Neurospora crassa OR74A: one gene and its partner. The protein of the gene in region 1 interacts with the protein of each later gene in a pairwise test. Links are inferred from orthologs where the notes say so. Each region holds a gene or a part of one and is shown in the gene's direction. Other genes may lie near its edges.

What was found.
Region 2: the proteins of NCU09894 (region 1) and NCU08595 interact in binary tests that used the Saccharomyces cerevisiae proteins (3 or more experiments, as listed by UniProt). The link is inferred for Neurospora crassa OR74A from reciprocal best matches to the Saccharomyces cerevisiae genes MAK21 and RPF2.

The regions. Positions count from the first base shown.
Region 1 is NC_026501.1:3,984,830-3,990,620, forward strand, and holds the start of NCU09894 (CCAAT-box-binding transcription factor), read left to right. Parts: upstream 1-2,057; 5' UTR 2,058-2,062; coding exon 2,063-2,869; intron 2,870-2,926; coding exon 2,927-4,603; intron 4,604-4,665; coding exon 4,666-5,463; 3' UTR 5,464-5,791.
Region 2 is NC_026501.1:9,517,017-9,522,339, reverse strand, and holds NCU08595 (ribosome biogenesis protein), read left to right. Parts: upstream 1-2,177; 5' UTR 2,178-2,279; coding exon 2,280-2,293; intron 2,294-2,359; coding exon 2,360-2,468; intron 2,469-2,538; coding exon 2,539-2,861; intron 2,862-2,931; coding exon 2,932-3,511; 3' UTR 3,512-3,874; downstream 3,875-5,323. Other genes in the region: NCU08594 (hypothetical protein), read right to left, coding at 5,293-5,323. UniProt on the Saccharomyces cerevisiae protein: Required for biogenesis of the 60S ribosomal subunit.

The DNA.
Region 1 (5,791 bases):
ATAGTTTATTTTAATTAGAGCGTCGCTATTAGTCTTAAGTATAGAGGTAATTTCATTATAAAAGCTTTACTTATAATATTACTTTTTAAATAAATAGTACTATTTGAGCCCAAAGATAAGTATTGCGTTTGGGTTAGTAGGAGTATTATTGTAGGCTTTAGGGTATTGGAGCTATATCTGCTTTGCTTTCTCTTATAAAAGTTCAACTATAGTACTTAGACTACGAATTTCGAGCTCTAATTGCACACGAAAGAATATTATTCTAAAAACTAGCCAATTACTATTCTTTGGGTGAATTTTCTTGAAATATTATAAGGAGGAATCAATATTTACGAGATAGGTAGGGTTTTTATTCTTATTAAAATAGTAAAATATAATATAGTTTGGTAGTAATACATTTTACTTTCTTTGAATTTATTAAGTCAATTGAGTAAGACTTAAGCGGTAAGGCTAGTTGTTTGCCTATTTAAAATTTAAAACGCTACTCCTAAGTAAGGGTATTATAATATTAGGTAATTATAGTCAGTATTGTTGCGTAGAGTAATTTAATTGCTAATAAAATGTATAAGGTTGATAGTTGTTTATAAATAGAAAGGGTAAAATGAAGGGATGTACTAGTATGAGGGTAAAAGAGTAAAGGGGGGAAAGAATAAGGAGAATCCTTTAGAAATTGGGCAGCTAGCTATACTATTTGGAGGGTTTCTAGTACCCCTAACAGCTCTAATAAGGGGTATTAGGTACATTTGACACCCCTTATTAGCTCCCTCGAGGGGTCCCTGGCAATTGTAAATTTATATAGCGAGCCGGCTAACGGCTAGCACTTAGCAGCTAGTAGGTATACTATACTAAAATAATACATATAGTGAAATTCCTAGTATTTGTTAAGTATTTGCATTTATTAGGTCTAGCATTTACGAGGCACATTACTATAAATAGAAGTGTCCGGTGAGTGGGATTCATTAGTAAATCCAATATATACCCCACGGGCACTAAACTCCTAGTTGTAGGTCCTTCTACAAGTTAATACTAGTTTGTTTGTTAGTTTGGTTCTTTAGCTATACGTTGAATAGGAGAAATTGTTTAAAGCTTCTATTAGCCTTTAAAGAGAGAAAAGGGCCTCTGTTGGAAGCGTTATATAATAATAGCCAGGGTGGAAAATGCTATGGAAGCCTTCTTATACCCCTCTTTGTCTCATTTAGGACCTCCAAGACTGGAAGATATGAGAGAGTAGTCCCCTTTTAGTACCTGTCTGAATGAGGTTCAAACGTTTTTCCTACCCTCGACATTTGGTAGCTGGCTCTAGAGTAGAAATTGGCTTTTTTTTAGTACTAAACCTACAAACACACTAAAGTTAGATTGTACAATTCAATTCTAAATCAAATATTGAAAAAGTTTAATTGTACGGTCAATATTATCTATCCGTACGGTAATGAAAAATAGACTTTCATATTCTTTTTCTAACTTAATAGAGTTTAGTATTAACTTACCAAAATGCATTATATTTTTTCTGATCTTTTACTCTATCTAACACTCTTTTTGGAGTGACCAGACCTACCTAGTAGCCCTAGGAAACTCTCAAAGAAGATAGCTATTATAAATAAATAATTAATAAGATTTTAGATGAAAAAGGCTTAAGGGGTAGTTTTTCCATGATGCTTAGGGATATAGATTTGGTACCTACCTTAAAAAATTCCTCAAAAATGAACGAATAGTTTGGTGCCACTTTCAGTTTCATTAGTCTCCGTTTTACTAAGTTATACTTAATAAAGCAAAAGTAGACCACCGTACGGATAGACAATATTAACTGTACGATTAGACTTTCTCCAAATATTACCCAGCGTAGGACTTAACACTTTTAGCACTATTTCAGGCTTGCATCGCCAAACTCCACCGAATGAAACTTGATAAGAAAAAGTGTCAATCGAAGTACCGCGCCAATGATGAACCAGCCGAGGTTTGGAGAGTACTGCATAGTACATAGAGATTTGTCAGTGTACTGTGTACATCTGTACCTCCACTTGCTCCACTCTTCCTGCAAGACGCACGAGGGTCCGCTAGGTGCATGATCCAAGCATTTTTTTTTCCAACCCTTCCTCGTAGATGGTTTATTTTGCATCACCAACAGCCAACCTCGAGACACATTGTGCCGGCCCGCTGTCCATTGATTTCGGCAACGACGGATTTAGGAGATATGGGCTCATCCAAGTCACCGAGGCAAAGAAAGAGGAAAGGCATGGGGCCGGCTTTCGACGAAGCAGCAGCACTTGCTCAACTGACCGAAAAGATCGACCAAACTCTCGCTGGCGTCGGCACTGACCAACACGCGTCACCAAATCGCAAGAGACCGAACACCACAGCTGATGATCGAGATGCAAAGAGGCGCCAGAAATCTCTACTGGGCACTGAAGAAGGACAAGAGGACCGTTCCAGCAAAGACCAGTCCCACAATGCAACAAAGGAGGTTCTGCTGGAGGAAATTTTGGCCTTGGGCGGAGACGAGGATGATCTTGAGCTTGTCGCCAATGTTGATTCCGACAATGAAGAGGGACCTGGCATGAAATCTGCGTCGGCGCCCGAAAAATCCCTGGATAAGTCATTTCATGAGGAACTGACAAAGTTCGCCTTGAGCCTGGGCTTCCAGAACATACCCCGCGAGGATGACCTTGAAAGCGTGTCGTCTGAAAACCCCGTCGACGAGGAACAAGACGAAGAAGACGACGAAGAAGAGGACGACGACGCGGAACAAACAAAACAGGATGACAGCCAGGATCAGGAACAGCCTCTAGCCATTTCTGCCACAGTAAAAAGTGAGAGCACAACTACGACCGCCCAAGACACCCTGCGCGGGAAGAAAGGCAAGAACAAGCTGGTTAGTTCGACGCTCTCGCTGCCGCAGACTTACCTGGCGGTATGCTAACTTGAGTAGGGTTTTGAGCCCAGACCTGACTGGCATGCTCTCGACCTCGAGGGCCTACCTGCCTTCACACCATCTGCCGACGTTAGGCAATATTCTTCAGCGATTGCCAACCTCAAAGCTTACGCGGACGCTCTCTTGAAGGAGGACGCGGCAAGATACAACGCCCTCCAGGCCTCCAGCTCCACTCAGAAGTTCATGTCGACCATTATGTCTTCCGGCACCTTATCCGACAAGGTATCTGCCTTAACCTTGTCGATACAAGAGTCTCCTCTCCACAACCAGAAAGCCTTTGAAACCCTGATCGGGTTGGCCGGCAAGAAAAGCCGTAGTCAGGCACTCGCTGCCCTGGGCGCTCTAGTGGATCTGCTGGGCAATGGCACAGTTCTGCCAAGTAATCGCCGGCTTCGTCCGTTCAACATGCAACCCGCCTTGCTGGCCGCTTTACAAGATCAAGCTGTGCTGCATTGGGTTCAGGGCCAGAAGCTCCCAGCCAAGCTAACTGATTCTTACCTGATGATGTGGGCATACGAGGATTGGCTCAAAGCAGCGTATTTTCGCATTGTCCAGCTCCTCGAAATCTGGTCGACTGATCAGATTGAGCATTCGAGAATGCGCGCGCTGGAATTTGTTTTCACATTGCTCCGGGACAAGCCGGAACAAGAGGCCAATTTGTTGCGACTTCTTGTTAACAAACTCGGTGATCGCGAACGGAAAATTGCATCTCGGGCGTCATACCTCCTCTTGCAGTTGCTCAACATTCACCCTGCGATGAAAAGCATTGTCATCAGCACGGTAGAGCAAGAGGTTTTGCTCAAGCCAGGCCAAGGTCTGCGCACCAAATACTACGCCATCATCACCCTGAATCAAACCATCTTGAGCACCAAAGAGCCCGCTATAGCCAACACGCTACTCCGAATCTACTTCGAGGCTTTCCTTTCCCTCCTCAAAACTGGCTCATTGGGAAACCTGGAAGCGCTAAATTCCGAGGACAAATCTGGCGGCAGCAACAGGAAAGCTAAGAAGGGCAAGCGAAATCACACCGAGGCTTCTGCCAACGAGCAGGATACGACACAAAAACTCGTATCCGCACTGCTTACTGGTGTCAATCGTGCGGTACCCTTCACTACCGCCGACGATGAGACCATGGAAAAACATCTCGATACCTTGTTTCGCATCACGCACTCGTCGAACTTCAACACCAGCGTGCAAGCACTCATGCTCATTCAACAGCTCGCCGTGACCAAACATCTCGCTGTTGACCGATTTTATCGGACATTGTACGAATCATTATTGGATCCCAGACTCATCACGTCATCGAAGCAAGCATTGTACATGAATCTACTTTTTCGAGCCCTGAAGAATGATGCCGACGTGCGGAGAGTGAAGGCTTTTGTCAAGAGATTGGTTCAGGTGCTTAACCTGCATCAGCCGTCCTTCGCATGCGGGGTGCTATATCTGATTTCCGAGCTGGAGAACATGTTTCCTGACCTTCATTCGTTGCTTACTGTTCCCGAGGAGAATGAAGATGATGGCGTGGAGGCTTACAAGGATGTCAATGATGATGCGGCTCTGCAGCGCAGTCTCTTGCGTGAAGACGCACCAACTTCCCGTCGTGCCACAGGATATGATGGACGAAAGAGAAATCCCGAGCATAGCAATGCGCACAGAAGCTGCTTGTGGGAATTGGTAAGTGCCTATTTGAACTCTGATTGCATGTGAAACCAGTTTACTAACCTCAAAACCACCAGGCTCCTCTTCTATCTCATTTCCATCCATCCGTACACGTTTATGCCAGTAACCTTCTCGTCCGTCAAAAGGGCCTGCCGAAGCCGGATTTGGCCAACCACAGCCTCATGCATTTCCTGGACAAGTTTGTCTACCGCAACCCCAAGATTACCGAGACCAAGCGCGGAAGCTCAATCATGCAGCCGGTCCTCGCTACTGGTGGCGCCTCCCAAACTGTCGTGTCCAGCAAAGATGGCGCCAAGAAGCAGCCTTCCGTCAACTCGGCCTCATTTTGGAATCTCAAACCAGGTCAGGTTTCCGCCGAAGATGTTTTCTTCCATGAGTATTTTGCTCGCATCGGCAAGCCTGGAGACATGGCAAAGAGCAAGAAAGCATCCAAGGAGAACAGTGGTCTGGACGGCGAAGAACAAGAGGAAGAAGGCGAAGACGAGATCTGGGAAGCATTGGTCAATTCTCGACCCGAGGTTGAGGGTGAGCTGGATGAAGACGAATCCGACCTCGGAATGGATGGATATGACGACTCAGACGAGGAGATGGACACTGTCGGCTTTGATATGGATGGCCCTCGCGAGGACTTCGAGGGATCTGACAGTGATGTGCCCTTTGAAGGCATTTTTGATGATTCGGATGACTCGGAAGAGGAAGCGGTGGTGGATGAGAGCGCTGGCGAGGAGGATGCTTCGACGGCAAAGAAGAAGGGCAGACTTAGCAGGAAGGAGATGAGGGGTCTGCCAACATTTGCCTCGGCCGATGATTACGCTGAGATGCTGGCTGGTGAGGATGGCATGGCCGACGATTAGTGCAGTTGGGCAAAGCGTTTCGATTTGTGGGCGAAAAGCTAGTTAGCCTGTAGCTCTCGTAACCTGGTTGGCTAAAGATCCTTCCCCTGTTGACTATGGTGAGATGGGTAAGTCCAACCCGTGGATTGACGTTGTACACACAGTGCCCACGAAGCTTTGGCTTTGGTGGTTGGTGTCAGATACCTGACAGGGAGGTAAAACTTTTGCTCGCAACCGCAGGACATTCGCCTACATGCCCTACCAAAGATGTTTGTTCGCCTCCTTGCTCAAGAAGGCAATGATTCCAGTATTTGCTACAATGACTGGAGTAGCCATGATGTTTCTGATG
Region 2 (5,323 bases), about 5.5 Mb from region 1:
CGCGGCGGCGGCCGCTCGCGGCACAGAACTTTCAAACAGCAAGACGAGCTAGAAGCAAAGGTGGCGAGACCACCTCACTCAATCAATGTCATCAACTCGTTTTCGGTTGGCGCCCAGTCAGAGAGAAAGAAGAAGAACAAGATAACCTGACTTGAGCCCCCATTAAAGTTTAACTGCGTCAGAGCACGGAACATGAACACAAAAAGACAAGGAACATTCGTCCGACGAAGTTGGAACGTGGGGTGAGACAACTTTTCTAAAGTTGTATGACACAGCATTTAGATTCAGGATTTCGTGCACTAGTTCTAGCACCACAGATGCACAAGCAAATGAAAGAAAAAGAGGGACCCTAAGCCCGACAGTTCCGAGGAGAGACATTATGAAGCAAGACATGATGGTTCTCCAAGTAGGCAGAAGGGAGTGCAACTTGTTGAACAGTTAGTTGCAGGCTGTTGTGACTTTCCCGATATAAGTTAATATGTTCAATGGGCTTACAACAACATCTGGATATCCCTCGTGGCGCAATTGGCTAGCGCGTCAGACTGTTAATCTGGAGGCTGTAAGTTCGATCCTTACCGAGGGAGATCAACATTCTCTTTTTGAATTTTTGCACTTATCTCACCTTTTGTGTATTGTCTGTTCTCTGACGATTGATGAACCTTTTTCTTTCTGAAAGTTTATCTGGATAATGAATAATCATGGTGCTGTGTGAAGGGACTGGTTCTCGATATGTGGTTTTATTGAAAACCCCCATCTCGAGATGTTGATTTGTTCATCGAAGAACCCCATCACCAAGCGACAAAATGCCTTTTGCCATTACTTTTCTTGACGCCATTTGAAGAAACATAGCCGTGAACGACCAAAACCTTTTCAGGATGATCGTACCATGATAGCCCACCATCATCGAGACCCCCCGTCTTCAAGACTCGTTCCATCAACCTCACGATATTAGTTACCTCTCTAGTCCGAGTCTCTGGCCCGAGCGCCTGCACGGAACAACCCGCATCCAAACCTCCTTCTCTCACCACACCCTCACGGGAACATGCTTCCAACGAGTTCACGAGTCACGACAGTTTACTTGCATCCCAGGCTTCTCAGTCGCGGGAAACTGCATAGAACTTTTCGAAAATGCATTCCTAATGCCCGAGTCTCCGAACACTCCACATGTACATACATACATACAGCTGCGGACAGTTTAAGTTTCAGTTTCAGTGGCATGGGCTGGGCTTGACGAGAATGCAATCGCCCTTTTTCAAAACCGTTGAAAAGTAGGTAGGTAGCTTCCCGATGGCATACATACCTAGTGACGGCGGAGGCGGAGGCGGTGAAAGGAGGAGTGCCGAGGATCCATGGAACAACGGTAAAAGAAGCCACCACGTGAATGGGATGCGTTCCGGAGGTTGTACGATACATGCAAAGTATGGATGGGATGGGTATGGGCTGTTTGGACGTGATGGGGAAAGAGACCGGGGAGTCTCATCAGGTTGGATGGATATCCTACATTTATGGTCCAGTCAAGACGACCACGAGAGAGAGAGGGGACATGGCGAAATAGATCATTGTGAGAGGAGGGAAGCTATACTGAACTGCTTCATGGTGTTAGAGAACGACAGGCCAGGTAGGTCCGTAGTAGGTGGATGAGAGCATTCTTGATGCTCGCCGGGAGCAATGACTGGAGAAATCTGGTTTTATGTCAGAGTAGAACGGTTTTAAGGAATCTGTATTGTGAACCCGAAGTGTAGAAGAACACCATCCCAATATGTTGGCTTCGTGTATTCAGAATCTTCTCAAGTGTGCTGACCTTGTAAGAGTGATGCCAGAGTTTTGTGATGTTGCTGACTTGGCAATCATATTGCTCAATGCTTGTTTCCCAAAGAGCAAGTGATTATCGAGTGATCAGAACAAGAATATGGAACTCAAGGTTGACTCCATCACCAACCTAATTGTGATGAGACGGCAGAAATGGAAATGATTTTGGTTGCCGTTGCAGTGACGTTGAGGCGTGAAATGGAATGGAACCTAACAGCCCGTGAACCCCTGAACGACAGGCAGGGGAAAGCCAGCGCCCAGTGGACGAGCGGACAATCTTGACCCCACCTGCCCCACAAAATTTCGAGTTCAAGGTCTCCTCTTATCGATAAGCGCCGTTCTGGAATTTCTTTGCTCGACCATCACGACGACGATTTGCAGGTGAAGGAGACAGTCCCCAGTCCACATCACCACCTTGCGGTACCTATCCAATCCACCCACTACCGTCATCGCATAACCAGACCGCCAAAATGCTCCGCCAAGTGTACGTCAATCGATCATGACAATGGAACATACCGAACATTAGCTGACAGTTCTCTTCTCCGCACAGCAAGCCGCGGACAGCCCGTTCCAAGAGGGCGCTCGAGAAGCGTGCCCCCAAGGTCAATGAGAACCCCAAGACCGCCCTCTTCCTTCGCGGCACCACCTGCAGCCAAGTCGTATGTCACCTCCTCCATATCCTCTCCTCCTATATATGATGGTATCATCAAAATCTAATACAGTCCGCAGACCCAAGATGCCATGCAAGATCTCTACTCGCTGCGCCAAACCCACGCCAAGCGCTTCCACAAGAAGAACCCCGTCCACCCCTTCGAGGACGCCAGCTCCCTGACCTTCTTCTCTGAGAAGAACGACACCTCGCTCATCCTCTTCGGCTCCAGCAGCAAGAAGAGGCCCCACACCATCACCTTCTGCCGCACCTTCGACTACAAGATGCTCGACATGCTCGAGTTCTACCTCGACCCCGAGACCTTCCGCAGCATTGCCCAGTTCAAGACCAAGAAGGTGCCCGTAGGCACCAAGCCTTTGATGGTGTTCGCCGGTACTGCTTTGTATGTCCCCCGATTCTTGTGACAAAGAGGAAGGAGTAGTGAATGAACGTCAGCTAACCGAGTACCACAGCGAATCCCCCGTCCCCAACGCCTTCACCACCGCCAAATCCATGCTCATCGACTTCTTCCGCGGCGAGCCCTCAGACAAGATCGACGTTGAGGGTCTGCAGTACTGCGTTGTCGTTTCCGCCGACGAGCCCACTTCCTCCTCCACCGATCCCTCGGACCCCTCGACAAAACCCACCCTCCACCTGCGCGCCTACCTGATCCGCACCAAGCGTTCCGGCCAGAAGCTCCCCCGAGTCGAAGTCGAGGAGCACGGCCCCCGCATGGACTTCCGCCTCGGTCGCCTCCAGCAGCCCGACGCGGACATGCTCAAGGCTGCGATGCGCAAGCCCAAGACCAACGAGGAGCGCACCAAGAAGAACATCAGCATGGACAGCATCGGTGACAAGATTGGTAGGATCCATATGGGCAAGCTGGATCTCAGCGAGTTGCAGACGAGAAAGATGAAGGGTCTCAAGAGGAGCAGGGATGTGGTGGATGAGGACTTTGATGATGCGGATATGCCGATGGAGGGCGTCAAGGAGGTCAGTGACAGGATCGTGGGGCCGAGGAAGAAGAAGGCGAGGGATGTCGTTGAGTTTTGAGTTGAGCAAGAGTAGGGAGACGGGAGAATGAGGGGTTGAGGGGATGAAGAAGAAGGCAGGCAGGGAGGAGGTTTAATCTTTTTTCTCTCACAATTGTTGCGATCATCCACCAAGACACAAGGCGTTTTTGGGAGTTTTTAGTTTTATTACTTTACTTTATCTTATATCATTGGCTGCTGCTGCTCTTGGGGAAGATGAACATTCATGCCAGATCAGATCATCAACAGAAAAGAAGAGATGACCAAAGCTGGAGTTATTGATGGATGATGGGTTGTTCGTGAAGTTGCCTTGCCAAAGCTTGTAGACCTAGACATCTATCTAGCATATACGTGATATTTATACCAACCAACATATGGGACCATAGGATCAACCGATCGACCGGCCGAATTTGCCGCTACAGCTTTGTTTGGAAGAATCTAGTATTGTCAGCACTCGCTGCCTACTATCACATGGCACTCATGCTATTTCCCTCTTCTACCTGGATACCTTGCTACCTTGCTACCTTGCTACCTTGCTACCTTGCAACTATCTATAATCATAGAAAAAAGACAATGCCATAATCATGTACAACCATAGGAAAACCTATGAACTATTCCCTGTTTCGATCTTTGGTTTGGAAACGTCTATAAGGGGTGTCGGTGAGGCAGTCTGCAGACTGATTTAGTACAAAATTATGAAACCAAATATCCATGCCGAGAACGATTGATTAGTGTATATGTTGACTGACTACAAGGTTATGAATGAAATGCCTGTACCAGAAATTGTGTTTGTTAGAGCAGAGTTGTATCAATCAATGATGGCTTCCTTATGCTTGTCTATAAAGAGACTAAAGCCAGTCCCACCAAAGAGTTAAGACTCGAGATTATGTGCTATAGACAAGTTCAGTATTGCTAAAAATTCTCGAGACACTTGGAGCCACCTGCAGAGAGTTGATGATTATAAAAAGCAGGGAAACGGCATGGTGTCTTCCTATACCATCCTGAGCTGAGATATGTAGGTATTGTATCATATTTGCTACAGTCGATAAGTACCAAAATCCCTACCCACTACAGTAGTAAATAAGGTTTCACATCTGACTGACTGTTCAAATAAAAAGGGCATCCGAAGCTTCAAAAAAATCTCTTTCTCCAATCAATCATCTCTTCTCCACAAGGGTATCATCCAACATCCACCTTCCAGCTTCCGAAGTCTCCCCGCCATCTCAACCCCAGGCTAAATCACCCCCCTTCTTCAGATCCCCAGTTCTATGTCTTCTTGTTTCCTTTATATAGTATAGTGAAGAATTTCCCTCAACGCCTCTGCTATGGTTTAGTATGAAAAAAAAAAAAAAAAAGACAATGATGTTGTAATGTTCTTTCCAATCTTTGGCGCCCCAGCCTGGCGCGTGTCTATGTCAAAGTTATATATGTTTGACGCTCTTCTTTCGACTCGGTGATGCCTTGTCAGCGGTGCTGAAATGGCTGACATCGGGGGATTCTCCAACGAGGAGGGGGGGGGAGCCACGTATCTGCTCCCCTCCTCGGTTAGGTTCGGTTCCGCCGGTTTGATAGGCGCGGCACTTGACGTCTGCGTCCGACAACGCCCGCCGCCCCGGTGCGTGACACCACTAGATATCAACCAGTGTCCCACTTCGATCGTATTCGTATTCCCGGAAGCCTACTTAAAAGGGACCACCTCCTAGGCGTGTGTTCCTCTTGTTCTCGGGGTTTTGCCTCCTCGCTTTGGTTTTCATACCGTCCGTCACCTTTGGTTGTGTCACGTTCTTGTTAATGGCTGTTTACTCAGGGAACTTCAGGAATGCTTCTCGTCGAG